Linked DNA regions of Callithrix jacchus. The protein of the gene in region 2 interacts with the protein of the main gene of each other region in a biochemical or structural test. Links are inferred from orthologs where the notes say so. Each region holds a gene or a part of one and is shown on either strand. Other genes may lie near its edges.

Region 1 (4,188 bases), on a different chromosome or scaffold from region 2:
GGTGATCTGCCCTCCTCAGCCTCCCAAAGTGCTGGGATTACAGGTGTGAGTCACCGTGCCCCGCCATGCCTCTGGTTCTTTTATAACCTTTCTCAGTGCCTGCTCTGGGTCAGGCCAGTGTTGGGAGGAAGCGCTACTGAGCTTCTAGATTGGCAGGGGAGGCAGATGGAGAAATGTGTGGTCAGTGTTGGAACAGAGGCAGCAGTGGGCAATAGAGGAAGTGAGTAGATCCTTGGGAGGGGTCCCTAGAAGAAGTGATGTGTTTTGTTTTTGTTTTGTTTTAGAGACAGGATCTTGCTCTGTTGCCCAGGCTGGAGTGCAGTGGCATGATCATAGCTCACTGCAGCCTTCATTTCTCGGACTCAAGCAATCCTCCCACCTCAGCCTCCCAAGTAGCTGGAACTACAGATGGACACCACCACGCCTGGCTAATTTTTGTATTTTTTGTAGAGAAGGGTTTCACCATGTTGCTCAGGCTGGTCTCAAACTCCTGGGCTCAAGAGATCCACCCTGCCCGTTGATTATAGTGATTCCAGGCATGAGCCACCGCTCTGGACCAATGCTTCATCCTATTGTAAACGTCTGTTACCTCTCTGTCCCCTATCCAGTAGACTGTGAGCTCCTTAGGGCCACGAATTAAGGATGGGGGCACAGAGTTAAGGATGGGCACAGAGCAGGCTCTCCTGACGTTTGTTGAATGAGTGAGGGAATGAATTAGTTCAAGCAGACGCTTTACTTGGCCATTGTAGATTTTGGCTAAAATGGGACTTGCAGGAAAGCCCCAGGCTAATATCTGGCGGGTCGTCCCTCCTCATTTCCTGGTACCGCTCTTCAGCTTGGGCTTTGGGTGAGTGGGATAGGGCTGGGTGCAGGGTTAGGATAATGTCATGGGTGTGGTAAGTTGAGGATAGGAGAGGTGGCTGATGGCTGGGCTGTGGAACTGATGATCCCGAAAAGAAGAGGGGGCAGTTTCTGGAGATGTGGGCTGAGGTTGTGGGGGCTACAGGTTGAGGGTCGCGTGAACAGAGGCTCTGTCCTGAACCTGCACTATAGAAAGGTCAGTGGGATGCGGGAGCGTCGGGGCGGGGCCATGTTCCAGTGTCCCCACGCCTCCGGCAGGGGACGCTCGGCCTGGGGGCGGGGAGTCCGACCGCGCCTGGCACTGTCTGGACAAAGCCTGCGCGCGCCCCGCCCCGCCATTGGCCGCGCCGCCCCGCGCCGCCCCGCGCCGCCGCCCCATCCCTCCCGTCGCCGCCGGTCCGGCGCGCTATAGCCAATAGGAGCCGCTGCCGTCGACTTCGTCACGGCCCGGGCAGCCAATCGTGGCGGCGCTCGGCGGCTCGTGGCTCTTTCGCGGCAAAAAGGATTTGGCGCGTAAAAGTGGCCGGGACTTTGCAGGCAGCGGCGGCCGGGGGCGGAGCGGGATGGAGCCCTTGCTGGGGCCTGCCGCCATGGGCCCGCGCCGCCGCCGCCGCCTGTCACCCGGGCCGCGCGGGCCGTGAGCGCCATGGCTTTGGCCGGGGCCCCTGCGGGCGGCCCATGCGCGCCGGCGCTGGAGGCCCTGCTCGGGGCCGGCGCGCTGCGGCTGCTCGACTCCTCGCAGATCGTCATCATCTCCGCCGCACAGGACGCCAGCGTCCCGCCGGCCCCAGCTGGCCCCGCGGCGCCCGCCGCCGGCCCGTGCGACCCCGACCTGCTGCTCTTCGCCACTCCGCAGGCGCCCCGGCCCACACCCAGCGCGCCGCGCCCCGCGCTCGGCCGCCCGCCGGTACGGACCCCAGGGACGCCGCGCCGGCAGCACTGCCTGTGCCCCCTGAGCAGACCTGGGCGGGTGCTGTGTTTGGCCTGGAGGCGGCAGGGGGCGGGGGAGGGGTGGACTGAGGCACCCAGGCTGGGCGGTGCAGAGCCTGGCTTGTGCCTCCAGGCTCCGCCCTGGGGTGCGGGGTGACCTCGGGCCGGTCCCTGTTTGCTCCTCTGCTCTGGGCCTGAGCTTCCTCACTAAAGCCTCCCCAGCGTCGGACTCAATGATAATAATGGCCCACGTGTATTCAACTGGCGTTTATTGCACGCCAGGCCTCGGCCGACTTCAAGCCAGCTGAAACTCACAACCCTGCTGTAAGCCGTGTTGTCACTGTGCCCAGCTGACGGAGGAGGACTGAGGCCCAGAGAGGGACAGTGACTTGCCCCTGGTCACACGGCTGCAGGTGGCGGGGCTGGGATTTGAACTGCGGCCTGCTGGCTTCAGATCAGAATTTGCATCTCGGTAGTGAACACAGCTGCTAGGGGAAGTGAAGGCGGGGCGAGGAAGGTCCTGGGGCTTAACCGTTGGTGAGCCACTGAGGAGACCCTCCTTCCTGCCTCGATGCTGACTGCCAGGTGCAGGACTGGCCGGCCAGGCCTCTGGGGACAGCCCTCCTGGCTGGGAGGCCTTCTCTGCAGGGGCGGGGCAGCTGGACCAGCTGCTGATCTCCTCCCTCTGCCTGTCCTTCCATCTGCCACCCTCCACCCTCCCAGGCCCTGGTTGCCATGGAACCTCATTAATCAGACAGACAGACCCCTGAGCCTCTGTAGAAGAACTAGGTGGGCTGGGCCTCTGGGAGCTGGAGAGGAGGCCCCCAGTGCCAGGAGAGAAAATGTCCCAGGGAGATCCTTTAATAAAGCCGTCCCTGAGTGCTGAGCTCAAGACCAGTTCAGACGGGGCGGGGGGTGGGGGGGGGGTGGTGCCCAGAAGAGGTGGCTGAATTACAGTGGGAGAAGGGATTGGAGGCGTAGAAGCCTGGAGCTGGGACCTGTGGGCTGCAGTACAGGGTGTGGAGACCAGTTTGACTGGCGCAGCCTATGGGTGAAGGTGGGGCTCTGATGTGCAGGCAGGGGCTGGTCAAGCAGGATGGGGTCTCAGCAGGGAGCTTGGAGCAAGTGGGAGGGGTGAGGCAGGGCTTAGGACTAGGAGGTAGAAGCTGCCTAACTGCTGATGGGGGTGAGGGTAGCAGCTGGTCCCTGAGGCATCTAAAGGGGCTCCCCCACCCCCTTGGCCTCATGCCCAGTGCTGCCTTCCGGAATCACCACGATGCTAATAATAATAACAATAGCAGCCACCATTGTTTTGAGGATGTCTTATGTGCCAGGCTCTGCCAAGAGCTTTACCTAATTAACTCATTTAACCCCATCAGCAGCAATCCCTTTTTACAGATTGGGAAGCTGAGGCCTAGAAATACTAGAATCTTCCCATGTCATTCTGCTATTGAGCGGGGGGTTGAATCTGTATTTCCTGTGAGGTTGACCTCTGGGATGCATTGCTTTCTAGGGATGCTGATAGAGGCTGAAGAAAGGGCAGGAAGGGCTTTTGGGGGCCCTTCATCTTAATGAGTGGGTGGGAGGGGTGGGCCAGGTGGCTTGTCTCCTGTACTCCGGGGGTTTGTCCCTGTGGGTAGTGCTTGGGACCTGGGCAAGCATCCTCCATTCAGCTGTGTGACAAGCATATAGCAGGCTCAGGTCTGTGGAAACCTAACAGAACCTGAGGGTCTTGTCCTCAAGGAACTGAACAGGATTATGGATTCTAGGATCAGAAGGAGAAACGGGGCAAAGAAGAGTGCCCTCCACTCTACCTGTCAGGGGCAGGCTTATTGGCCCGGGCATTCCATTCATTCAACAGTTGTTGAGTTAGTGAATGCCTAGGAGGCACTAGGCTCAGAGAAAAGGAGCCCCACCCTCAGAGTCCTTCAGGGCCAGGAGGTGTTTTCTGTACTTAGGGGCAGGAGACTGGAGCTGAAGTCCAGAAGGTCCACAGGTTCGGCTTTTGGCCTCTCTGCACTGGCATTTGTCTGGCACAGTCCCTGGAATAAGCTACAGACTTAGCTTCTGTACCAGCAGGCATTCGTTGAACACTGTATACCAGGCTCTGTGCAATTCAGCCATTTCTCTTGGTCCTGCCTGTCCACTTCCACAAACTCAAATATTTTAAACATAATACATGTTTACTGTAGAAAACTTAACTGTTTTTTTTTTTTGGAGACAGAGTCTCATTCTGTTATGCAGGCTGGAGTACAGTGGTGTGATCAGGGCTCACTGCAACCTCCACCTCCGGAGTTCAAGATATTCTGTGCCTTGGCCTCCCAAGTAGGTGGGATTGCAGGCACATACCACCACACCCAGCTAATTTTTGTATTTTTAGTAGAGACAGGGTCTTGC
Region 2 (4,036 bases):
GGGCAGCGCCTTCGCGGCGGTGACCCCCAAATAGGCTTCAGCAGATGGGGGGAGGGCGAAAGTGAAAGCTGCGGCTCTCAAGGGTTTTTACCCTCCGTTGAAAGCGTAGGGCGAAAATCGTAGCTGCAGAGGTCCCGCAGCTCTGTGCGGCTCCATTCCCAGCTCTCTGCCAGGACCCGAATACATGGCTGTAGAGGACAACATCTCACTGAAGCGCCCGCAACTCCGGCCGCTACTCCTGCTGCCTCACGGCGAGATGGCCGCCCTGACCGGACGTTACGCCACTTCCGGCTTTCCTGTAACTCGCTCCCGGCCTCTCTATCTCGCACTAGTCGTTGCTCCTGGAGGGCTGCTCTGCCGCTAGTCCCTTTCATAGTTGGGTCCTGCCCATTACCAGAAAGATATTAAGGTTTTTGTTTTTTGTTTTTCCCCCGAAGAAAAGATTGGAATTCACCCATATGGACAAAATTTTAAAAGTCTGACCGTGCAAAAATTTGCCAAAACTGTGGAGCAACGGCAACTGGAATAATAGTAACAGCCTAAATTGTCCTGGCTAATACAAAATGTATGTAACATTTCCTATCCTTAAAGAGCTCACAACCTCACTGATAATAGAAAGTCCAAAGGAAACAAGCGGTATAATATATGATTCCGCCAAAACGAACTATAGAAGGTAAAATAAAGGCGTGCTGACGTCCCACTAGGAAACAACTGCGGATCGAGCCTTTGACCACAGTGCCTGAAGCGGCTTGTGTTTTGCTTAGTGTTCCTAGTCATTCTACACGCTTGAAGATCAGCTAGCGTTGTTGCTGACAGGTAAGGAGCACGCGCTTACTGAGTGCCAGGCACTGCTCAGGCATTGACTGTCAGTCTCCAGAGAGCCCAAAGTTAAGCACTAGTATCATCATTATTAAATTTTACAGAAGAAACTGCGGGGAAGAAGTCAGGGAACTTGCCAACGGTAACGCCTCTAGTTGCTTGAAACACACACACCATTTAAAAATTGATCTTTCCTATGCCCAGCAAGGGCCAATTAGAGACAGCGGTGGTGCGCCCGCCCAGTCCCGGAACTCCTCAAGAGCTTCGCCCCTCCTTCCCTTAAACTACACGCCTACGGAAACACAGGAAGTGAGCAAGTGCCCACACTTCGCATGGCCACGACCCCAGTGAGAACAATTCGCTGAAGCCGAGGGCAGAACTGGCGGAAGTGACATTATCAACGCGCGCCTGGAGTTCAGTGGGGTCGGGCAGGGTTCCTGTGGCGGGCGCCTGGGCCGCCGGCTGTTTAACTTCGTTTCCGCGGGCTCATAGTAATTTCTGCAGTGACCCAGGTAACAGCTTGTCCTCTTTTCTGAGGGTTCGGGCGGAGGCGACCACTGCATTGAGGCCTGGGGGCGATGGTGGGGAAGAGACAAGGAATTGGCGCGCGCAGGCCCTGCAGGGGACGTTCCTCCCGCTCGTGCTGCCGCCGTTCCGGCCTGTAACGGCCACTCGGCCGCCGCTTTCGCCTGGTGCCCTATTCCGCTGTGGTTCGCAAGCGGCTTCCCGTCATACGAGCGTGGGGCGCAGGGTACTGGCGGGCTCGGCGGCGGCGGGCGGGACAGGGCAATCCCTTGCATCGAAGACCCGAAGTTTATTCTGCCCTGGCCTGCCACCCGCTTCTTCTCCATGTTTGAAGGCAGATTCACTGTGGTCTGTGCCCGCCTATTTTGCTACCAACATTGAGACTTAAATACTTTGTCAGAAGCCTGAGACAGCGGACACAGTAGCGCTTAAGATACAGTACACATCACTTTGTTTACAGGGCCTCCCATCTCTCGGTTCAGGCCATCATGGTTTTCCAAATCTCTAGGTAGGCTTTTCTGTGAAAAGACTATGCTTCATTTAGATATACAGACACTAGAAGGCTATGCAGAGTTAGATTGCCTCCAAAAAATATCGAATTTGATGTTTCAATTTCGAAGAGATGAAGAGACCCAGCAAACAACCCTTTTCTAGGGAGAAAGTGCAGTAACCACTGTGCGGTTTCTTCTGTAGACTTACGTGCAAAAAGTGATAAGAGCCTACCAATATTTGCCGTCTCATCTCCTGTAGTGACCTATACAGTCATACTAAGCTTGTCACCTTCATACGGCATGCTTTTTCAATGTTACCTCGTTTATCTGAAGCCCTGACCTGTAAATTCCTATTCACCTTGTGAGACCCAAGTTAGATGGTCCTTGTTTTGTGAAAACACTGCCCCTCTTCATAGTAGTGTGCTGTTAGTCTATATGTCTTCTCTTCCAGGGGCATATATGCACTTATTCATGATCACATACTGTATTCCAGGCATAGTGCTAGATGCAGGGATGACAAAGACTGGTTTCTACATTCAAGAAACTTAGCTGGCCGGGCGCGGTGGCTCACGCCTGTAATCCCAGCACTTTGGGAGGCCGAGGCGGGTGAATCACGAGGTCAAGAGATCGAGACCATCCTGGTCAACATGGTGAAACCCCGTCTCTACTAAAAATACAAAAAGTTAGTTGGGCGTGGTGGCGTGTGTCTGTAATCCCAGCTACTCAGGAGGCTGAGGCAGAAGAATTGCCTGAACCCAGGAGGCGGAGGTTGCGGTGAGCCGAGATCGTGCCATTGCACTCCAGCCTGGGTAACAAGAGCGAAACTCCGTCTCAAAAAAAAAAAAAAAAAAAAAAAAAGAAACTTAGCTTAGGGCACACCTGCTATTATACTATGTTTTATAGTAATGATTTGCATACCCTTTATATTGAACATTTTGATGCCAAGGACTATAACCTCCTAATCTTTACATCCTCATCTGCATCACTTCTGTTATTGTTATTATACGGTAACTGTCAAAAAGTATAATTTTAAAAACATCTCTGATATTTTTATTTTCAGAAGCAGAGTTCGCTTGCTTTCTTTTTTGGCCATTTTTTCAGTGATGAGTAGGTAGGATACAGAGTCTGGGGGCCTTAGCCCTTTCAAAGCGATCCTCAGAATCTTTCATTCCTTCACAAATATCTGAGTGTCTATTGTGTACCAGCACATGCTTGAAGTGCATATGCCTGAAGGGTCTTTGGACATATAATTTGTAACTTTGAGACCTGAAGTTCTGGGTGAGAATATGTTGTTATTATAAACTCATTTCAGATATGGACATGAGTAAAGAGATGATGATTTAAGAAAAGCCAGATAACAGGCACGGTTTGCATTAATGTGTTCTAAAGAGGTAAGGTTATTATTTACAAAAATGCAGGGTTTTATCTTTGTGCAGCTTTTTTTTTTAGTTTTATTATAGTAGGAGCTCAATAACTGATCACTGAAGTATATTTACTTAATTTTTTGCCCAAGACATTATAGAGGATATAAAATTGGAATAAAGATCTGAACTTTGCTTAACTGTGCTGTATATACAGTGCTTAACGAATACTCTGCTGTGATATTACAGTTTGCTTAGGAATTAGTTTCCTCTCAGTATTTTTCCTCAAAAGTTTTTGATGCATCATCATAGTATTTAAATGCGTAACAAAATGACTTTTGTTGGCGATTTTACATGTAATCACAGGAAACATGGAAGGAATAAGACTTCAGGATTATAAAGCAAAAGGCAATGTATTCCAAAATAGCTTCATTGGTTTTCTTGTTTGTGTTTTGTATAGCCATGGAACTGGCTTATAGGACTGTACAGGTTACCTGAATCCTTACATTAAACTTCAGGCTTTTTTCCAAAGCAGCATCACTGTCTCTTGGTGTGTGAAGATAACCCAAGGAATTGAGGAAGTTGCTGAGAAGAGTGTGCTGGAGATGCGCTAGGAAAAAATTGAATGGTGAGACAAGTTCCAGCCCAAGGGTTTCTGGTTTGCCAAGAAGGAAGTGAACATCATGGATCAGAACAACAGCCTGCCACCTTACGCTCAGGGCTTGGCCTCCCCTCAGGTAATACAGCAGGAGGAAGAGAATGAGAACAGGGAGGGCAGAAATATGTACTTCAAGAGATGGTATCAAAGGGAAGGAAGGGTATTTAATGATCTGTTTTTGA
Region 3 (3,949 bases), on a different chromosome or scaffold from region 2:
TTTACAGACGAAAAACAGACTCAAGGATTGAGACACAGCCTCTACAGGTAATGAGAAGCAATGGACATGCTTTATAAGCATAGGAGCAACATGATAAAGCAGTGAGTTTTTTTTTTTTTTCTAAGATTAATCTGTTGGTGGCCTATAAAAAGGACTAAATTGAAAATTAGAGAAATATTATTTTGACTACTAGCATAAAAATCAAGTTTAAGGGCCCGGCACAGTGGCTCGCACTTGTAATCCTAGCACTTTGGGAGGCAGAGGCGGGCGGATCACTTGAGGCCAGGGGCGGGAGACCAGCCTAGCCAACATGGCGACACCCCACCTCTACTAAAAAAATACAAAAAATTGGCAGGGTGTGGTGGCACGTGCCTGTAATCCCAGTTACTTCAGAGGTTGAGGCACATATAGAATTGCTTGAACCCCGGAAGCGGAGGTTGCAGTGAGCCGAGATCATGCTGCTGCACTCCAGCCTGGGCAACAGAGCAAAACTCTATTTCAAAGAAAAAAAAAAAACAAGTTTAAGATGATAAGGACCTGCACTAGGTAGCAGAAGTGTTTAAAAGCCTAATGAACTTAAAACTATTGAAAAGCCAGATAAGCCCCCAAAAAAGAACAAAAATTTTAAAACGTGAGTTTTCAAATCTGGCTAAGAAAATAATACTATGAACAACATAAACAATTGAGAAATCCAACTTGGGCAAATCGTTGGTCAGAAGAGCTTCTCTCCAGTACCTATGCAGAACTTCTGGCAAATAATGGCAAACATCTAAGCCATTTCCTCAGCGTCATAGCAGATTTTTCTTTCGTTCACTCCGCCCACTGGCTTCACCACCTGAACAAGAGCATCTTAATTAAGGGCCTTCTGATCTTGCTTCCCTAGAAGCAGTTTGGTGGGAAGGAGACTGGTTGGTATGGAATTAGAAATCAAGGTTTTAAAGTCCCAGGACTTTGGCTAAATCGGCTTTTTCCTTCTCTGTCAAACAAAGGGACCCTTAGTTCACCTACTTCCCTACTTTTAAGACTGGAGATCCTCTCCATATCAGTACAAACCGCTTTTACTTAAGCGCGTGTCACCAAACTAAAGGCGCTCACGCAGAGCGGAGCCCCTGGCGGTGAGCTTACGTCACGTCCGGCGCGCTGACGCTCAGTTCTGCGTGCCGACGCCTGCGTCAGCAAAGAGCGGAGCTTGGGGTACCCGGTTTGAAGTCGTGCGGGTCGGAGGACTGCCGCATCCGCTACGGTGTTGGACCCCTGCTCCCTGGCTGCTGCGGGTACGAGCTCGGGTAGGCGGCAGGGCAGATGCCCGAGGGCCTGAGCTGGAACTCCCCGCGCCGCAGCGGCCGCTCCCTTGTGCTTCGCGGCCTGGACCTTCACCGTTTCGCTCACTGGAAACTAGCGCCTCAGCTGCGCGGCGCGTAGGTCGCACGGAGCTCCGAACCGCCGGCGCCCGGCTATGGCGGTCTCCAGGTGGGTCTTGCTCCTAACGAGCGAACGTGAAGGCCGCTCAGGCAAGGCACGGTCTCCTCTCAGCGCCCTCAGTCGTAGAGAGGAGCGGCTCTCATTGTCACTGGGCTCCGGCGCTTTCTTCAGTAGACTTCGGAGTTCGCCCCGTGGTCGGAGGGGGTTTGGGGCTCGGGTTACCCCTGGGTAAATTGGCTCAAGAATGCCTTTTTTCTTGTTAAATAGACCCCTTGGCACGTTAGAGCTGGTTTTTCTCTCCTCACCATGTTTCTGTTCTCTGGTTTCTCTTCCCTCTTTCGGTTCTAGGAGAGTAAGTCTCTTATCTTTCTCTGTATTCTAAGGCTGGTCCCTAACCTCCATTTCATGGGAAAACTTGGTAGTTACTGTCGATTGAGGGGAAACCTGAATTACTGTTATCTAAGAGACCGTCTAATTATGTTAACAATTTTAATTTACGTTTTAGGGGCATGTTCTTTCCTGAGCTATTTTTTAAAATTAAGTATAATTTCTCCTTTTGTTTGGCAGTAAATATTCCAACGTCAGCGTTGTAACCTTAAGCAAATTATCGTATTAGCATCATCTTCCTTAGCTAAGGGGTGAAAGATAAATCACAAATCTTGTATTCTTTGGCAATACTGCCTGTCAACAGGAAAGCCCGGGAAAACTATAGAAAAACTAATAAGACATTCATTTGTATAGCTATAGGAGAAACATTCTTCTTTCCTCCAGTATGATAGAATGGTTGGAAAACTTTTGTAAGTGGATTTTGGTGGCCCTATGTACATGTGATTAAGGGATAGTTCCTCAGTGATAGTGATGGGGTGGATTCACCAAGTTCTTTAGAGTTGTTAAGGTAACTTTTAATGAGAATTGGGTTCTTCTATCATATAGACTGAAGGAATAAATGATGAAAACAATTAGTTTTCATTCATTTTTTATAATTAACTGATCACATTCTTTGAGCATTTTAAGTGCGCAAATTTTATCTGTTTTGCAAGGGAAAGGATAACCCATTCCTTACAGACTCCCTAGATGACTGATGAAACTGTGTGGGAGAAGCCCATGAGAGTTGGCTGAAGGGGGTTGCTAGGTACCTGTAGTATGGGGCATCTAATTTTTGTTATATAGATTAATCTATTTAATGTAAGGAAATTCTTTAAAAAAAAATTAAACTGCCTTAAGAGAATACAAGTGACATTTTACATTTTTGCAGATATAGAAAGGTATATATAGAAAGGTATGTTTTCTTATTTATTTATCTATATATTTGAGACGGAATCTAGCTCTGTCACTCAGGCTGGAGTGCAGTGGCACAATCTCAGCTCACTGCAACCTCCACTTCCCGGGTTCAAGTGATTCTCCTGCCTCAGCCTCCCTAGTAGCTGGGATTATAGGTGCCCACCACCATATGCAACTAATTTTTTTTTTTGTATTTTTAGTAGAGATGGGGTTTCACCATGTTGGCCAGGCTGGTCTCAAACTCCTGACCTTGTGATCCACCCACCTCTGCCTCCTAAAGTGCTAAGATTGCCACCAAGCCAGGCCATATCTTCTAATTTGTTACCTCCTGTATAAATACATGAATATATACATTGTAAATGCATTGATATATAAACTTAATATAACATTTGTCATGTAATACAGTGTTTAAGGAGATGAGTACTTCCTTTCTTAGAACAAGCTGTGTATTTTCACAGGATTGGATGTAGCTTATAAAGACAAAATTAAAGTGTTTAAAAAGAACCTAATCTTCGTGTAACACTAATCTCTTTACAGAAGTTTAGGAAACTGAATATTTCTGAATGACTGAGTGGGTTTTGAAGGCACTGTCTTTTGTTCTGAATATTGTGTTTCAAAGAGTAGCACTCTTTTTCTGTAGATTTTTTTTTTCCTTGTTCACTTTTTAAAAAGCCTGTCATGTTTTTATGAAAGAGCTATTTCTGTGCTTAGTTTCCTTGGGCTTACTAGTAAGCCCAAGGAAAACATTTTGAGACACTGTGTGTGTTTTGGGGGTAGTGTCAATTCTTGACTTTTTCATCTGCGGATTTCTTTGCATGGCAAATTTTAGTTTCAAGCTGGCCTTCTCCATGCATGAAGCACAGTTCTGTGCTAACGAAACTTTCTTTCTCTCCTGTTGGTGTATGCTTGTGGAATGCAGACTCATTTAATACTATTTTATGTAAAATTGGTGGAAAATAGTCCAGGAGATAATAATCATCTGGCAAAATCAAATCTAAAATACTTTTTACACTGTTTATTTCATATGCATAACTGAAGAGAAACTATAATATTTTTAGGACATTTCCAACAAAATTTCCAACAGATGGGAAATAGTAAATTAGTATCACTATTCCCTCATCCAGAAATTTGAGACTGGGTGTGGTGGCTCACGTCTGTAATCCAGTTTGGGATTATACTCTGCCCCAGGCTGAGGGAGGCTGAAGCAGGAGAAACACTTGAAACCCGGAGGTGAAGATTGCAGTGA
Region 4 (4,064 bases), on a different chromosome or scaffold from region 2:
CTCCCCAGAACTTATGGGGTCTACCCCCTACACTAACCCACTACAGGAATTAAAAAGTTTACACCCCAGACTACTTCTGCCTCTCTCACTCCTACATTCCGAGGAGTTGGCAGTTCTTGACATTTAGTGGATGAGGAATAAATGAAACCAGACATGTCTTGTTCCCCTTCCCTCTGCGTAGCCTACAACTCCTATGCATCCCTCAGTGGCCAACTGAAACCTCCCGTCTTCTCTGAGCCCTCAGAGCCCCGCTGTGCTTCTCCTGCTCCTTCCTGGGTTGTAGATTCCCATTTTATGAGTCTCCGCCACGACACTGTAACCCGCAGAGGACAGAGAGCTGGTTTGATATATTCACCTGGCGGAGCCCGGAACCCAGCAGCGTGCTTGAGTATTTCCGAACTAGAGCAATGAATGGTTGTGCTGTGAGCATGCGCAATTGTGTTACTGCCAGGCTTGAGGGGTGTGTGCACGCCTGGAATGGGGTAGGGGAACTTGCACCTCCCTCCCGTCCTCTGCAGCCTCCTTCCCTTCCCCCCAGTAAGCCAGCCAGCCACCCCCACGACGTTACTCTTCTCCGGGGGCCTCAGAGCCCTGCCCATTTGGGGCAGCTTGGACTTGCAGAGACCCATCCCGCCAGCAGCCCTTGGGGTGGTCGCGCCCCGATTCCGGGCAGGCTCTGACCCCTCCTGGCTCGGCTCAACGTCACAAGGGTCCCCGCTCCGGTCATTTTGCGGGAATGACGGGGTCCACCCCTTCTGGGCAGGTAGAGGAAACGAACCCCAAACAGGCCCATAGGGAGCCAAGCGGCAGTTCGACTGGACCCGAGTAGGCCTCAGTTGCTATGGTGACGCGGCCTTCCAAGCCCCAAAGTCCCGAGCGGCATGACGCATGCGCAAAGCGCCTGGGAGCCCGCAAGGAGGACTAGCTTCCTTCTTCCCACCCAGGATGCCCTGCGGTCCTTGGGTGCTGACGTCACGAAGGAGGGCGGTCCCACATTTGATGACCGCACTGTACATAGGAGCATCAGCGACCAAGGCCGGTTATTTGATCTCAGACTCGGCCTTGTTGCGTCTGAAAAGGGGCAGGGGTGGCTCTTTTGAGGTGGCCATAGACGCCGAGGAACATAAGTGACGGCGCATTGAGGTAGCCACAGCCGCTTAGAAGGTTGCCATCGCGACGCGGCCGCTGGAGGGTTTAGCTTCCGGGTTAGGCGGCCGCGGAGGCGTAGACGGAATAACCTGAACGCCTCTTCCGGTTACCCTTTCCCAGTGCCAGAGGCGCCTAGGGTAGGAATCCTCACACGGGGACCGGAACAGAGACCCGACAAGGAACGGCGGCTTCCCCGAGATCGAGGGACGCGCTAGCCAGAGGAGAAGAAAGGAACCCGGGTCGGACCACGGAACCACTGACCATTGCCCATGGCGGCCCTAGTGAGTGTGGATTTGGCGGGGTTCGGGGGTCCCGGCGGCGACCTCGGCGGCACCTTACTCACCGTCCGCTTCCTCTTTCCGCAGGGCCCCAGCAGCCAGAATGTCACTGAATACGTCGTTCGAGTTCCGAAGTAAATCCCCTACCCCATCTCCCACTCCTCTCCACCCCGCAAAAGTGAAAACCTTTACGGTCCTCTTAGCCTGACGTTTCTGGCCCTGTCTGTGGTTCTCCCTCCAGACCGGGGGACTTGGAGGGCAGGGCTGCGATTAAGCTGAGGCTTCTCTGGAGGCAAACACTGCTTTTTGTATGAATGAGTGCATTAATACACAGCACGATTCAGCCTCCTGGCCTAACGTTCGAGAGCATATGATGCCCAGGCTGTCTCGTCCTCTTTCAAAGCGAGCAGGCTGCCTTTCCTTTCCAGGCCTTTGTACATCCCGTTCCCTCTGCCATGAGTGCCTCCCCTCAGCCCCCAAACGGTGACTCTGTTGGGTGAATTCTTGTTGATTCTGCAAAACTCAGCTCCAGTATCATCTTCCTCCAGGAAGCACTCCCTGACTGACCTCCCTCCTCCCCAAGGCTGAGTTCCCAATAATCTCCACATCTTGGGTTTCTCCCAATCTTTGTTCCTCCATTTGTTCTTCGTCTGCACGCAGTTAAGAGGGGATGGGGTCTAGCTTCTCTGGCAGACTGGGATTCCTGCAGTCTTCCGTATCCAGTGTTGACAGGCAAAACAGACTGAATGAACCAGGGTGGGTTTGTTGAGTGACTGAATTAATGATTCAGTGGAATGGAATGCTTGAATTAATGGTTCAGTTGAATGGAACGATCGAATTAATGATTTGATTGAATTAATGATGTGTTCACATTGATTGATTAAATTAATGATTGAATTGAATTGATGTATTGGATTGGCTCTATCTCTTCTAATCCACTCTAGGAATACAACCAAAAAATATAACATCATGGCTTTTAATGCAGCTGATAAAGTCAACTTTGCCACGTGGAATCAGGTAAGTCCCTGGGTCCTGGGGGTCGGGGGCTGGGGTGGTGAGAGAACCTGACCCTGACCTTGGTGGTTGTAATAGTTGCTTAGCTGTCATAGTAACTAAGTCTTAATTTTCTCACTTTTCCCAAGTGGAGATAAGGTAGATGACAAAGAGTTGGGTGCAGTAGTTTGTACCTGTAATCTTAGCACTTGGGAGGCCAAGGCAGGAGGCTTGCCTAAGGCCAGGAGTTCAAGACCAGCCTGGGCAATATAGCAAGACCCTATCTCTACCAAAAATAAAATAATTAGCTGGATGTGGTAGTGTGCATCTGTAGTCCTGCACAGGAGGCTGAGGTAGGAGGATCACTTGACCCCAGGAGTTGAAGGCTGCAGTGAGCTATGATTACACTACTGCACTCCAGCCTGGTGACAGAGTAAGACCTGTCTCAAAAAAAAAAAAAAAAAAAAAAAAAGATGGCAAAGGCCCAGGCCAAGCTCCTGGGTGTCCCTGTAAGTTACGTTTAGTAGGACCACAGGAGGCCATTCCTTAATGGAGAACATTTAGAAGTTGTGCCCACTGATGGCCATTTTTGCCAAGGTTTATCTGGCTGAGGGAGGGGACTGGGCTAGGGCCTTCCCCAGAGCCCCTGCCATCAGAGGCTCTAGAAAGGACTGTGGGAGCCATTAAAGCATCCTCCACGGGGAAGTTGTATTGTGATCTGGCTGCTGTGGGGAGGCAAACTGTGGGTTTGAGGGCGGATAAAGGGAGAACAGGGTGGAAGCAACTGGGCTGACTGGTCTAGGTGAGTCCTGGCCTGGGGATGTGGAGGCCGTGAAGGTGATGAGATGTGGCTGGATTCTAGAGTGTTTTGGAAATGGTACATATGGACCTTGAAGCAAGAGCTTAAGGGTAATTGGGACCTTATTGGCCACATAGGTCATGATTAATGGTTACATTTTAGAGATTTTGGTGTCTTACTGTCAACAAGTTTGGCACAATGAATTTCTTTTTATTTATTTAAATTTATTTTTTTGTGATGGTGTTTCACTTTTGTTGCCCAGGATGGAGTGCAATGGCACGACCTCAGCTCACTGCAACCTTCAACTCCCAGGTTCAAGCCATTCTCTTGCCTTAGTCTCTCATGTAGCTGGGATTACAGGTGCCCACCCCCACTCCCACCTAATTTTTGTATTTTTGGTAGAGATGGGGTTACACCATGTTGGTCAGACTGGTCTCGAACTCCTGACCTCAGGTGATCCACCCACCTTGGCCTCTGAAAGTGCTGGGATTACAGGTGTGAGCCACTGTGCCTGACCTTTTTATTTTCTTTCTTTCTTTTTTTCTTTTTTTTTTTGAGACGGAGTTTTGCTCTTGTTACCCAGGCTGGAGTGCAGCGCGATCTCGGCTCACCGCAACCTCCGCCTCCTGGGTTCAGGCAATTCTCCTGCCTCAGCCTCATGAGTAGCTGGGATTACAGGCACGTGCCACCGTGCCCAGCTAATTTTTTGCATTTTTAGTAGAGACGGGGTTTCACCATGTTGACCAGGATGGTCTCAATCTCTTGACCTCGTGATCCACCCGCCTCGGCCTCCCAAAGTGCTGGGATTACAGGCTTGAGCCACCGCGCCCGGTCGCTTTATTTTC
Region 5 (3,839 bases), on a different chromosome or scaffold from region 2:
GTGCTCAGCGGTGAAGCCATCCTCACGGCCACCTGGAGAGTCCTCCTCTTCTAGCTCCTCACCTGGTTCCATCCTGCTGTGAGCGAACCGAAACAAGGCGGAGTCAGAGACAATAACTACAGGTGCTAGGCACGGGATTAAACTGTGGCCTTGGGTAAGAGTTACTGTCGATGCGCCTCAGTTGCCTCATCTTTACAATGGGCTAACAACTGTTCCTGTCCCGTAGATCCGTTGTGAAAATTAGATACCTGAGGAGTGAGAGCTCCAGAAGGGTTGCTACAGTTATTACTATTCTCCTTGACTTATAGACAAGGAAACTGAGGCTCAGAGATAAAGGACTTGCCCAAGGTCACGCCCGTAGTGTGTGACAGAGCCAAAAGGTGAAGCCAGGCGTGGGAGCATTGCCTCAGCTACACCTCCCCGCCCCACCAAGGTCCCCTTTTCCGGCAGGTATCCGGAGCGCTAGCATTTAATGGAGGGAGGTAGAGAAGCGCACGTTCGCGCAGCTCCCGAGGCCGGCTCTGTTGGGCCAGGCCTCCTGGGCAGGCGTCGTCCGGCCCAGTTAAAGACGAAGACACTGAGGCCCAGAGAGGGCGCGAGCCGGTCCGAGGCCAATGGGGCAGTGCCCGGACTCGAACCTGGGCTTGTTAGAGCCTGCAGGAGCGCAGGCTCCGGCCTTGCCGCGCCTGCCGCCATTAGCGCCCACGGCCCGAGCTGCGCCCCCGCCCCGGCCCCGCCCCTCCCACCGCCCGCAGTCACCTCCGGCCTTCGCTGCGTTCGACGCCGACCCAGCCCCGGGCCCGGCTCCGCTCCTGCCGGGATTCCGCGCCACCGCCGCCGCGCCCCGCCCCCGCCACGGCCGCCGCTGCCGCCGCCGCCATCTTAGCGCCGCGCAGCCACGGGGCGGGGCCGCCGGCCACAGCGGCGCACCGCTGGGCGGGGCCGACAGGGGAAGGGGCGGGGCCTGCGGGGAGGTGTCGCTCGGGGGCGGGGCCATCGCGGGAACCCGGGGAGGGGCGGGCCGCGGGGGGCGGGGCCAACGTTCGCTCTTCTGGCCTTGGGGGCGGGCGGGAGCGGCGGTCTAGACCCCGGACGGACGCGTACCGTCCGGGAGGCTCCAAGCAGAGGGCACTAGGGCCCGGCGAGCGGCGTCTTAACCGGCGGCGCTAGGACCCCTCGGGAAGCAGCGGGGGCGGAGCGGGCGGCACCAGGACCCGGGGGAACCGCGGCGGGCGGGCGGCGAGCAGGCCCGGGAACCGGGAGGCTGCGGGCGGCGGCGCTGGACCTGACGCGGAGAGAGAGGCCCCGAGATGCCGAGCAAGAAGAAGAAGTACAACGCGCGGTTCCCGCCGGTGAGCACGTGGCAGAGTCCGGCAGGAGTGGGCCCTGCTCCCGGGAGGCTTAGGCCCAGTTCCCGCTGGGGAGGCGGGCGCGGCGCGGTGTTCGGGGGCCTGGACGCCCCGCCCCCTCTGTGCCCTCCCCGCGTCCGCGTCCCCCGCCCCTTTTCTCCGGGGATGCCCCTTCCTCCCCAAGCATCCCCTTCGGGGACGGAGGCGACGGGGTCTGAACTCTCTGCTCGCCCACCTGCAGGCGCGGATCAAGAAGATCATGCAGACGGACGAAGAGATTGGGAAGGTAGCGGCGGCAGTGCCTGTCATCATCTGTATCCTGCCGGGAGCTTGCCGGGTCGAGGGGCGTAGGGGAGGGAGGCAGCAGGTCGCCCTCTCCCGCCCCCCGCGTTCTCCTTGACGCCCCTCAGCCCGGGCGCTCGAGCTCTTCCTAGAGTCGCTGTTGAAGAAGGCCTGCCAGGTGACCCAGTCCCGAAACGCCAAGACCATGACCACATCCCACCTGTGAGCGGCGGGGCTGGCGCGGGAAGTTCACGTGCGGAGGGAGGCAGAGCCTGGATAGCGAGGGAGGTGGGCGGCGGCCGGGACACCAGCGAAGCCTCAGAGTGGTGGAGGGTCTGGACGTCCAGACAGAGGGAGCCACCCGAGCAAAGGAGGGCAGCCCCGGGGGTGGTGATGGGGCCTGGGCTCCAGTCTGACATCCGGGGCCCCTTGCTGTCACTCGCTGAGAGGGTCTGGGTGCCAGCCCCTCCCCACCTCTTCTAGGAAGCAGTGCATCGAGCTGGAGCAGCAGTTTGACTTCTTGAAAGACTTGGTGGCATCTGTGCCCGACATGCAGGGAGACGGGGAGGACAACCACATGGATGGGGAAAAGGGCCCCCGCAGGTGCAGCCAGGGCCTGGCATACAGTGGGGAAGGCCAAGGCCACAGGGCTGGGGGGAGGCTGAGGAGTAGGGAGACCTCTGGGCAGATGGACTGTACCTTCCCAAAGGGGCCGGAAGCCAGGCAGTGGCAGCCGAAAGAACGGTGGGATGGGAACGAAAAGCAAGGACAAGAAGCTGTCTGGGACAGACTCGGAGCAGGAGGTGAGTGAGGCCCCAACCCTTCGGCCTGCCCTTGGTGATGGGACTGGCAGCCTCGCCTCAGACTGAACCAGCTGGAGGCCAGCTCTCGTCCTTTTCTGTGACCTCTTTGTACCCCAGTTTCTTTGTAAATTGGGGCTATGAGGTCTCCTGCTGTCTCTGCCACTTCTGGTGATGGGCTCATGCCATTTCTTGTCAACTCTGATCTCTGCGGTGCTCACAGGATGAATCTGAGGACACAGACACTGACGGAGAAGAGGAGACATTGCAACCCCCACCCCAGGCCAGCCACCCCCCTGCCCACTTTCAGAGGTGAGCAGCCCAGAGGCACGGGAGGGTGCTGGCAGACTCCCCAGAGCCAGCTCACCCCTCCTGCTTTTCCTGACTCCTTGGTCTTGCTGATTGTGGCAGATTTGGGGGTGGGAGGAGAATAACTGAGGAGGGCTTGAAGGCAGGAGACTGTTCTTCCGAAAGATCCTGTCCCACTCTGCCAGCGCCTATGGGTGGAGCCTGGGCCTGCCCTGCCTGAACTGCCCTGAGCCTTGGTCCCATGCATCTGGAGGGTGGTGGTGGGAGGGAGGATGGGGGAGGGAAGGTCTTGGCAGCTGCCCCTGTGGAGGACAGGTGAGGCTCAGGCCTGACTCCCCCCTGCCTTCTGCCCTACAGCCCCCCGACACCTTTCCTGCCCTTCGCCTCTACTCTGCCTTTGCCCCCAGCGCCCCCAGGCCCCTCAGCACCAGACGCAGAGGATGAAGAGGATTACGACTCCTAGCGCCCTCCGCCCCCCAGGCAATAGCCCCTTTTAGTTGGTTTTAGTTGCTCTGGGGGGAGGAGGGAAGGTACAGCTGTTCTTGAATTTATTAAAAAAATTAATAAAAGGGAATCATCAGTGTCTGTCCCAGGCTCTCTGCAGGATGTCATGGTTGCTGTCCCATCCCCCCACCTGCCTTCCCCACAAGAAACTGGGAGCTGGGCCTGGGTCACTGGCAGGTGAAGCGGTAGTGAGCGAGGGAGGTGTCAGCTGGGGAGGCTGGAGGCCCCGGCTGTGCTGAGCGGCACCAGGGCTGCTGACCGACTGAAGGGAGGTGGGAGAGCTTGCAGGTGCTGGGCACTCGGGGGACATTGCTGACTCCCGGCAGGCTGCTGCCCTGCCCTGAGCAGCCTCTTGTCTCTGATGGAGACCTTTCTGCCCACTGTAGGCTGCTGTGAAGGGATAAGTGAGTGGGTTTGGGGAGAGGATTGAGGTCACTTTTTTTAAATTTGAGATGGAGTCGCTCTTTTACCCAGGCTGGAGTGCAGTGGTGTGATCTCGGCTCACTGCAGCTTCCACTTCCCGGGTTCAAGAGATTCTCCTGCCTCAGCCTCCCAAGTAGCTGGGATTACAGGTGCCCTCCACCACTCCTGTCTA
Region 6 (3,500 bases), on a different chromosome or scaffold from region 2:
ATAATTAAAATGACAAACAAATGTGTACACTAGAAAAAAAAAATCAATCAACCAAAATTTGGATCTTAATAAAGACTAATAAAATCTAACCTAAAAAAAACTGCCTTCTAGAAACATTGATCAAGGGAGAAGGGACAAATTTGTAGAGGTACACACACACCCATGCACGCATATACATACATACACACATACGCCTGTACTTCCATGGGTACTTACAAACATACACATTCACCATGCTCATGGGTTCAAAGGCTCAGTATTAAAAAGATGTTAATTCTCCCCAAATGATCTACAGTTTCAATGTAATCCCACTCAAAATCTCAACAGATTTTCAGACAACTGCTTTCTAAAATGTATGTGGAATTATAAAGGGCAAAAAAGAGCCAAGGCAATCTTGAACAACAACCAAAAAAAGGCAAAACAAACAAAATGAAGACACAGTCAGACATCGAAATGTATAATAAAGAGAGAATAAGACAGTGTAATGCTGGTACAAAATAGACAACTACATCAATGGAACTATTACAGGACGACAGAATCCAGAGAGAGAACAACAGACAAAATCCCCTGATTAAAATACAGTGCAGTGGGGAAAAGATGACCTTTTCAGTAAAGCATCTTTTCAATGTTCCTGGTCAACTGGGTACACATATAAGGGCTGGGGAGAGTCAATCTTAATCCTTACCTCAAGCCACAGACAAAAGTCAATTCTCCAGAATGGAAGAAAACATTTGCAATACAAATATTTGACAAAAGACTCATTTGCAGCATATATAAGAAACTCTTAAAATCACTGCTATATTTACAGAACATATTCTAAAAAAAAAATTGTTATATTTTTCTTTTATATTACCAATGACATTAGCTTTTCATATGCTCAGGATAAAACCCTAGAGTGTTCTTTTAATATTCTTTAAATATTAGCTCTATTGATCACCTGCACAGGTAGGTGACCAATAAAGTTTGTCAATTGTATCTTCTCAATGTCTCTCACATGTGCTCTCCTTACTAAACAAATTACATTAACTTTTCAATTTTTATTTCCAGACTAAATTCTGATTGAATTATTTTTATGCGTTCACATAAGAGGACTTATGAAAACAACACTGATAACAGAAACAGAAAACATTCTTTGTGCTTACGTTAGCGGTCTCTGAGTTGCAATGATATAATCCGGTCTTCCATTTTTATAAAGCAAGCGTGCATTAGACTGGACCCATGCCCATCGATTGTTTTTTGTAAGAAGTCGGAAAACTATCATGCCACTTTCTCCAGTCTTAATCACTAAAATAAAATTTAAAAAGTACATTATGAAACTCCAAATCAATATATTGAAGGATATTCCTAAAAACAAAGCTCTTGTGACATAGCTCTGGATGTATTTTCTTTATTCCCAAAGACAGTAAGTTTTAAACACAAAATATGATTAGGCATAGAAATAGTTTTTTGGAGTTGTTTTTTTCCCCCATTTCAGACTAAATTTATTATTTTAAATGTTAGAGGAAAGATTACATACTAGACAATTCTAGTAACACAGGAAAGTATAGAGAGAGCAGAAATTGGGGAAAAAAGATTAAAACATTTTCATTTTAAATAGGGGATGTTTTCCTACAGCCTAATATTTTATAATTTTAAAGTAGAATTATTAACACTATTATTGTTAAAATATTAACATAGATTTATGAATTGATAATGATGTAACTGAAGAATTCCCAAGCAAAATTTCATGGGCCACAATGGTCATTTTTCAGTCACTAAGCTACAATATTTCTGGGTGGCAGGTATAGACAAGTTAATGAACAGAGTGTAACCCTGGTTAATCATAATGATACATTACTAAGTAGAAGTTTATCCATATAGTTTACTTAAACATGTTATATTACATATTTTGAAACACGTACTACAGCGTATGCTGGTTTTTTTCCTGACATGTTCATAAGGAACTATGACTTACTCCGGATATGGGACTCAGCACAATAAAGCATATCAGCAGCATGAAGAAACTGATATCCTGATCCTCTTGTGCACAGCTCTGCTTCAGTATATCCTAAAACAATTCTTCCCCTGTTTAAAATAAAGGTAAAATAAAAATGAACTTATATTTAACATAAATGAAATAACCAAGATAAATTCACTGTTTTTATGCTAGTTTCTGCCAAATGTGTTAATTCACAGTTAGAATTTCACATGAGTAAGTAGATGTGAAATTAAACACATCTATGTAAATCGCTCTTCTCTGCTTATGGCCGCAAATTTCAGTCTCAGCCTACTTTCTTTTCCTGAATAAAACCATGGAAATCAGTAAGCTAAAAATGAATCTAATAGAGCAGATGTATGGGTAACAGAAAATCTTTAATAACATTTGTGCCATTTAAAAATGTAAAAGAAACCAACAATAAATGTCATCAGAACAAATTTTACAAATATATAAGAACATCATCATTTGAGACAAGTAGTGCAAAAAATTAAAAGGATGATTTGTGAGCCTGATGAAATTATTTTACTTTAAAAGCCTACACTGAAATAGCCAATCTAATAATAAACAATATTACATACAGTCTACACTGTATGTTTTACATGCTAAGAGAGACTTACTGAAACATAATGTACATCCAATAAAACAGAAGTGAAAAAGTCTCACTTACTTGGCATCACAACCAATAGGTGTGAAGTCTAGTTTGTGTTTAGTTCTAAAGATAAAATTTTTGGTCCGGATTTCAAGTATGGACGGTGGCTGAAGTGGAGTAGCTATTGCAAACAAAGCCAACTGAGGTGGAAGGATTGATCCATCTTTCCCTTTCTTTTTTTGCCCATGAAGATACTTTAACCTCCCTTGGAAATTCATTGCCTTAAAAAAACAAAAAAGCAAAAAAAGTTAATTAAAATTAACAATATAAAATAGTTCCTTTTTAAAAGGCTCCATTATGGCTGCCTCTAGGGTTCTTGATAATTCCACAAATGTTCCTGGAACTGAGAATGGTTAGTTTCTTTCACTCCTCTCTCCACGGGAACGTCATTAAAACTATCCCAACGTGTAGTATGAGAAATATTGTAAGGGGATAAGTGAAGCACTCCTTGTTTCTAATGGTCATAGCATGAATACCTGTATCATTTTCCGAGCTTGCCATTACCCTATCATTTTCACCTCGCACAGCTCCTTGCACACCAGGCAATCAATATATCCTTAATGGTGATAAGGTCCTGAAGCAAACACTCATTTTCAAGCACACATGAACTATATCACAGCTCATAGCATATTGCATAGTTCAGAGTAATGTTTTCTATAGAGACAAAATATAATTTTATTAAAACACTAAAATGAATCATCATGAAAACATATAAAGAATGCAGAGCTCTACTGAGCAAAGATATAGAAGAAATTTAGAGGTCAGGGAAAACAAAGGTGATTTAAACATGAACATGATATATTTATTTGGTTAAAACAGTATCAATCAGTCCAAGGGATGATTCTGACATCAAACTAATAGCAGCACAAGGAG
Region 7 (4,067 bases), on a different chromosome or scaffold from region 2:
CCCCACAGGGAAGACGTTCCTACTTTTTGCAAATGAAGAAACGAAGATTCCAGGAGAAAAATACCCATGTTGAAGGCCCGTTGTCCACGTCTAAGGCCCAAGCAGCTGGGAAGAGGTAGAAGCGCCTTTGTAAAGCTGCCCTGCGACTTCGGAAGGCCTTCAAGGCGGGCCTCCTCCCACCGCCACGCAGAGGAAAGGTGGATGCTAACACAGGTGATGAAACATGCAGAAAGAGGCCCTGCACCCTGCCCAAGGCCACATTAAGTTTCACGCGTTGGCCAAACATATATCAGTACACACGGAATGCTTCAGTGCGGGGCTAGGCCGTTCTGTGGCATAGAATCTAGATCAAATTCTATACTTTCCCCTGGAACGCTGGGCTCCTATGTGATGGTAGGGGTAGTTCCCGCAGACTAGAGATGGAGCAGTGCAGACCTTCTTGGCGGGTGGGCTGTGGCCACCTCTTCTAGAAATTAGAAAGTGTCATCGGGAGTCGAGGACCTGGGGCTGCTTTATTCTAAAGGGCTTTTTTCTTTGGATTGTTTCACTCTTCTGTTGGATTGCATTCACCCCTGGCGCCAGGGCCCTCTGGCCCCACTCAAACGTGTGTGTGTGTGTGTGTGTGTGTGTGTGTGTGTGTATGTTGGTGGGGGCGGGGGTTGAGATCGCCTCTCCCCTCGAACTGTGGCAAAGTCAGCAGACACCAACATGCCCAGCTGTCTTTTTCTTTTGCCTTCAAAATAAACCTCAAGGGTGGGCAGTGAGGAAGCAGAGCACAGGACCAGTGCAACGGGGTCCGCTGGGCACTGTCCCCGGATGAAACGTGGAACAAAATATTCCCAAGAGGGCTGGGATCACTTTGACTTTGGGGTCTTGGGGCCTAAGGCCCTAAGCGTTGGAAAGGACACTTTCCCTATGCAGTAGTTTTCCTGGCAGAAAGTGAATTCAAACTGAGGATGTTACACCACACGGGTTTTGCTTAAGTCCGCATTTTTCACACTCTTTTAAAAATCAGCAACAACCAACAAAGAAAACCCGATCCTTTGGACTCTCAGATCACCAGGATGTGAGTCAAACGAAATCTCGTGTTAACACCCCGCTTCTTCCCCGCCAGAGGCCACCGGGAGTCCGGGAAGCGCTTGGCCCCCAACTCGCTTTCCGCCTGGCCGCCCGAGGGGCAGGCGCCGAGAGAAACGTCACTCCCTTCGGCGGCAACAACCCAGCGCAGGGCCACCTTCTCCGACCATTAGGCTCAGGGAGGGACTGGCCTTTCAAAGACGTTTAATCCGCAGATAAAAATCATTCCTCAGCAACACGCCATTGATTTCTGGCTGCTATTATGCCGAGCAAAATAATCGGAGGAAACGAGGAAAACTTGGGAATTTCCCGTGCTCCTGAAATATCTCCAGGCGTGTTCTCTGAGTAGAGCAGCCAGGGGGCCGTGAGGCATTGGAACCACAGCCCGAACTCGCCGTGGGCACCTGGAGTCCGCTTTAACGGCTCAGTTCGTGGTTCCGACAGGATTAGCGGGGGCGCCTTCCCCTAACTGACTTGGTGCCCCGCCCCCTCCACTGAAACCTGAAGGTCCCCACCCCTGAATCATCCATCTACCCAAAGCACTAACTATCTGCCTCAAACTCGAAGGGCGGGGGGAGGTGGAATTCTGTTGGAGCTTCGGAACCTCTAGGCAAAGAGATATTTGCAAAGGATGAGGGGCTAGGGGACACCAGGTCCTACTGGCAGAAAGTGAAACTCCGTGTGCAGGGAAGATGTCCGCACCACACACATTCATCTGCTGGGGTGACGGCGAGGAAACAGAGTTTGGAACCAGATGAGGGATCATGGACTCTGGGGTCGTTTGGTGGGGACAGGAGGACAGGGTGCCCAGACATCGGTGTCCCGTCCGTTAACTCCCACCCGCAGCTTCTCTGGCCAAGGCGAGGAGGTCTGGAACCTTCTTCCTGGGTGGGAGTGGAGGGAGGCGCAAAACCCGGCCTTGCAACCCACGGCTCCTTAACACCAGCTCCAGGTACGCAGATGCCGCAGGCCCGCACCCCGTCCGGCCCCTCCCTCGGCGCCTGGGTTCTGGCTACTTACTGGCTGGCGGCGGGGAGAATCGGGGACTCTGCATCCACGGAGTCCTCTCGGGCTTCTCGGGGCTCTCGGCTTTGACGAGCGCATCTTCTGGCAGCTTAAGGAGTCCTCCCACCGAGAAATGGCCGAGCGGCCGCGGCGAAGAAGGAGCGTCCGGGGCGCCCAGCGACCCGGGCGGGACGCCCAAGGGCTGAGCCAAGCCACCCGCCGCCTGCGCGCTCTCGGAGGCCGCTAGGGAGCTCTCCTTGGCCCCTGGCTTCCTGTGGTCGGCCATGAGCGCCTCCACGCTGAAAGGCAGGAGCGAAGGGGACACTTTGGGCTTGGCTCCCTCCTCGTCCGCGCCCATGGCGGCCGCCGTGGCCGCGGCGGCGCCGGGGGCCTGGCCCGAGCCTCCCCCCGCCGGCTTGCCGAAGGCGGAGTCCTCCACTTTGACACCGAGTGGCAAAGAAGTCATGTCAGCACTCGGGGCCATGCAGAGCCGGGCCCCCCTCCTGCCGCAGCACGGGCCAGCCTCCGGGCATGGGCTTCGGGCGGGCTGGGAGCGCGGCCGGCCTCTAGGAGCGCCCGGGGTCCTGGCCGGGCGGACCCTCCCGCGCGCACCTCCCGCTCCTCCCCAGCAGGCCCGCTCCGGCGCGCCGGGCCTGGCTCGGGATCACCGCCGCTGCGCAGGCCGAGTTCCCGGGAGCACTAGCCCGCTCCGGGTCCCGCCGCCGCTCTCCTGAGAACTTGCTAATAAGGCGAGGCCAGCGCGGCGGCGGCCAATCAGCGCGCGAGGGGGCGGGCCCGGAGCGATCCATTGGGCCGCGCTCCTAGGGACTCACCCGGAGGCGCGCTGGGCCTGGGGGCGCGCAGGGCAGTGCCGGGCCGGCGGAGGGCAGAGGCGGGGAGGGGGGTGCCCGGCAAACTTTCCTCGGCGCTGAGGCGCAGGCGGCCCCTCTCTGCGGGGGTCCCCCTGGGTCTCTATCTTTCTGTTTTCCCAGGGGATTTTCCCTTGTTCTCGCTCCTTCTCTTCTGCCCTCCTCTCTCCTCTCCTCCCCTCCTCGGCCGTCTTTTCCACTCTTCTTTTTTCTGCCCCATCCTTGTTTCTCTTCTTTACTGCTTCTTTACCTTTCTCTTTAGTCTGTGGCTGGGTTTCTCTGTCCCGCCTCTCCGCTATCTGACCTCCCACGTTCCTCTACCACACTAATTTGAGTTGAGGCCATTTCTTGCGCATTCCTTTTGTATTTTAAAAAACATGCATGACTATTTATCTTAGGAGAAATACATAGTATTAGTTTCTTTTGCAAAAATAAATAAATAAATAAATAAATAACCTTCATTTTCTTCCTGTGCTGAAATCTTCTAAACTTTACCTGGAGGTAAAACTGGGCCTTTGTCTCTAACTCAGAGCTGGAGTAAAGTTTGTGGGAAGAAGCCAGGTTTCTGTGGTGCTAAGGATGTGAGAATACATAAAATTATCGAGAATCTGGAGTCGGTTTTCAGACGCGACGCGTATTTTCACCCCACCTACCCCCACCCCACAACACCTATAGCGGCCGGCCAGGAAAAGGAGCTGCCGGATCCTTTTGATATAGAATTTACTGAAATAAAACCAACAGAAACGTCAACAAAACACTTGTCTGGCCTTAGCGTGACCTCAAACAACGCGTCCGCGGGAACAATAACAGGTCCCTATCTCTGGGTCGCTGATCCTGGAGGGGGAGAGGCACCTTTGGGGAAGGGGGCCAGGAAAAGAAGACAGTTCTTGGTGGTGGACTGCTGTGCGGAACTTGAGAACTTTTATTTTGCCATTTTTGGAGAAAACGTGATTTAGTTTGCTGTTAATTTAAAAAAAAAAAAAAAAAGGAAAAATGAGGCCGGGTCAGGGGAGTTGCAAGATCTATGCGAAGCGGGGTCGGGGCTTGGCCGTTTTCTGCGCCTGTCGCTTTATGGCCTTTCCTCCCGCGGCCCAGGCCAGCGGCTCTCAGGGAATC

The links.
Region 1: the proteins of TBP (region 2) and E2F1 form a complex in vitro, tested with the Homo sapiens proteins (2 studies listed by BioGRID). The link is inferred for Callithrix jacchus from reciprocal best matches to the Homo sapiens genes TBP and E2F1.
Region 3: the proteins of TBP (region 2) and BTAF1 form a complex in vitro, tested with the Homo sapiens proteins (2 studies listed by BioGRID). The link is inferred for Callithrix jacchus from reciprocal best matches to the Homo sapiens genes TBP and BTAF1.
Region 4: the proteins of TBP (region 2) and GTF2F1 form a complex in vitro, tested with the Homo sapiens proteins (3 studies listed by BioGRID, with this or other methods). The link is inferred for Callithrix jacchus from reciprocal best matches to the Homo sapiens genes TBP and GTF2F1.
Region 5: the proteins of TBP (region 2) and DRAP1 are reported together in a solved structure, tested with the Homo sapiens proteins (2 studies listed by BioGRID, with this or other methods). The link is inferred for Callithrix jacchus from reciprocal best matches to the Homo sapiens genes TBP and DRAP1.
Region 6: the proteins of TBP (region 2) and AHR form a complex in vitro, tested with the Homo sapiens proteins (2 studies listed by BioGRID). The link is inferred for Callithrix jacchus from reciprocal best matches to the Homo sapiens genes TBP and AHR.
Region 7: the proteins of TBP (region 2) and MSX1 form a complex in vitro, tested with the Homo sapiens proteins (2 studies listed by BioGRID). The link is inferred for Callithrix jacchus from reciprocal best matches to the Homo sapiens genes TBP and MSX1.

Annotation. Positions count from the first base shown.
Region 1 is NC_133506.1:5,612,543-5,616,730, forward strand, and holds the start of E2F1 (transcription factor E2F1), read left to right. Parts: upstream 1-1,388; 5' UTR 1,389-1,507; coding exon 1,508-1,768; intron 1,769-4,188. UniProt on the Homo sapiens protein: Transcription activator that binds DNA cooperatively with DP proteins through the E2 recognition site, 5'-TTTC[CG]CGC-3' found in the promoter region of a number of genes whose products are involved in cell cycle regulation or in DNA replication.
Region 2 is NC_133505.1:177,177,943-177,181,978, forward strand, and holds the start of TBP (TATA-box-binding protein), read left to right. Parts: upstream 1-1,236; 5' UTR 1,237-1,331; intron 1,332-1,485; exon of another isoform or gene 1,486-1,852; intron 1,853-3,728; exon of another isoform or gene 3,729-3,731; 5' UTR 3,732-3,879; coding exon 3,880-3,933; intron 3,934-4,036. Other genes in the region: PSMB1 (proteasome subunit beta type-1), read right to left, coding at 92-204. UniProt on the Homo sapiens protein: The TFIID basal transcription factor complex plays a major role in the initiation of RNA polymerase II (Pol II)-dependent transcription.
Region 3 is NC_133513.1:84,694,990-84,698,938, forward strand, and holds the start of BTAF1 (TATA-binding protein-associated factor 172), read left to right. Parts: upstream 1-1,149; 5' UTR 1,150-1,198; coding exon of another isoform or gene 1,199-1,235; 5' UTR 1,236-1,456; coding exon 1,457-1,470; intron 1,471-3,949. Other genes in the region: FGFBP3 (fibroblast growth factor-binding protein 3), read right to left, coding at 1,199-1,235. UniProt on the Homo sapiens protein: Regulates transcription in association with TATA binding protein (TBP). Removes TBP from the TATA box in an ATP-dependent manner.
Region 4 is NC_133523.1:6,031,203-6,035,266, reverse strand, and holds the start of GTF2F1 (general transcription factor IIF subunit 1), read left to right. Parts: upstream 1-1,264; 5' UTR 1,265-1,418; coding exon 1,419-1,430; intron 1,431-1,514; coding exon 1,515-1,561; intron 1,562-2,371; coding exon 2,372-2,444; intron 2,445-4,064. UniProt on the Homo sapiens protein: TFIIF is a general transcription initiation factor that binds to RNA polymerase II and helps to recruit it to the initiation complex in collaboration with TFIIB. It promotes transcription elongation.
Region 5 is NC_133511.1:122,996,277-123,000,115, forward strand, and holds DRAP1 (dr1-associated corepressor), read left to right. Parts: upstream 1-1,234; 5' UTR 1,235-1,310; coding exon 1,311-1,352; intron 1,353-1,590; coding exon 1,591-1,663; intron 1,664-1,759; coding exon 1,760-1,853; intron 1,854-2,114; coding exon 2,115-2,234; intron 2,235-2,340; coding exon 2,341-2,434; intron 2,435-2,654; coding exon 2,655-2,743; intron 2,744-3,097; coding exon 3,098-3,203; 3' UTR 3,204-3,339; downstream 3,340-3,839. Other genes in the region: C10H11orf68 (UPF0696 protein C11orf68 homolog), read right to left, coding at 1-76, 639-997. UniProt on the Homo sapiens protein: The association of the DR1/DRAP1 heterodimer with TBP results in a functional repression of both activated and basal transcription of class II genes.
Region 6 is NC_133512.1:41,107,986-41,111,485, forward strand, and holds part of AHR (aryl hydrocarbon receptor), read right to left. Parts: intron 2,849-3,500; coding exon 2,646-2,848; intron 2,065-2,645; coding exon 1,955-2,064; intron 1,285-1,954; coding exon 1,143-1,284; intron 1-1,142. UniProt on the Homo sapiens protein: Ligand-activated transcription factor that enables cells to adapt to changing conditions by sensing compounds from the environment, diet, microbiome and cellular metabolism, and which plays important roles in development, immunity and cancer.
Region 7 is NC_133504.1:185,060,189-185,064,255, reverse strand, and holds the start of MSX1 (homeobox protein MSX-1), read right to left. Parts: upstream 2,801-4,067; 5' UTR 2,567-2,800; coding exon 2,098-2,566; intron 1-2,097. UniProt on the Homo sapiens protein: Acts as a transcriptional repressor. Capable of transcription autoinactivation.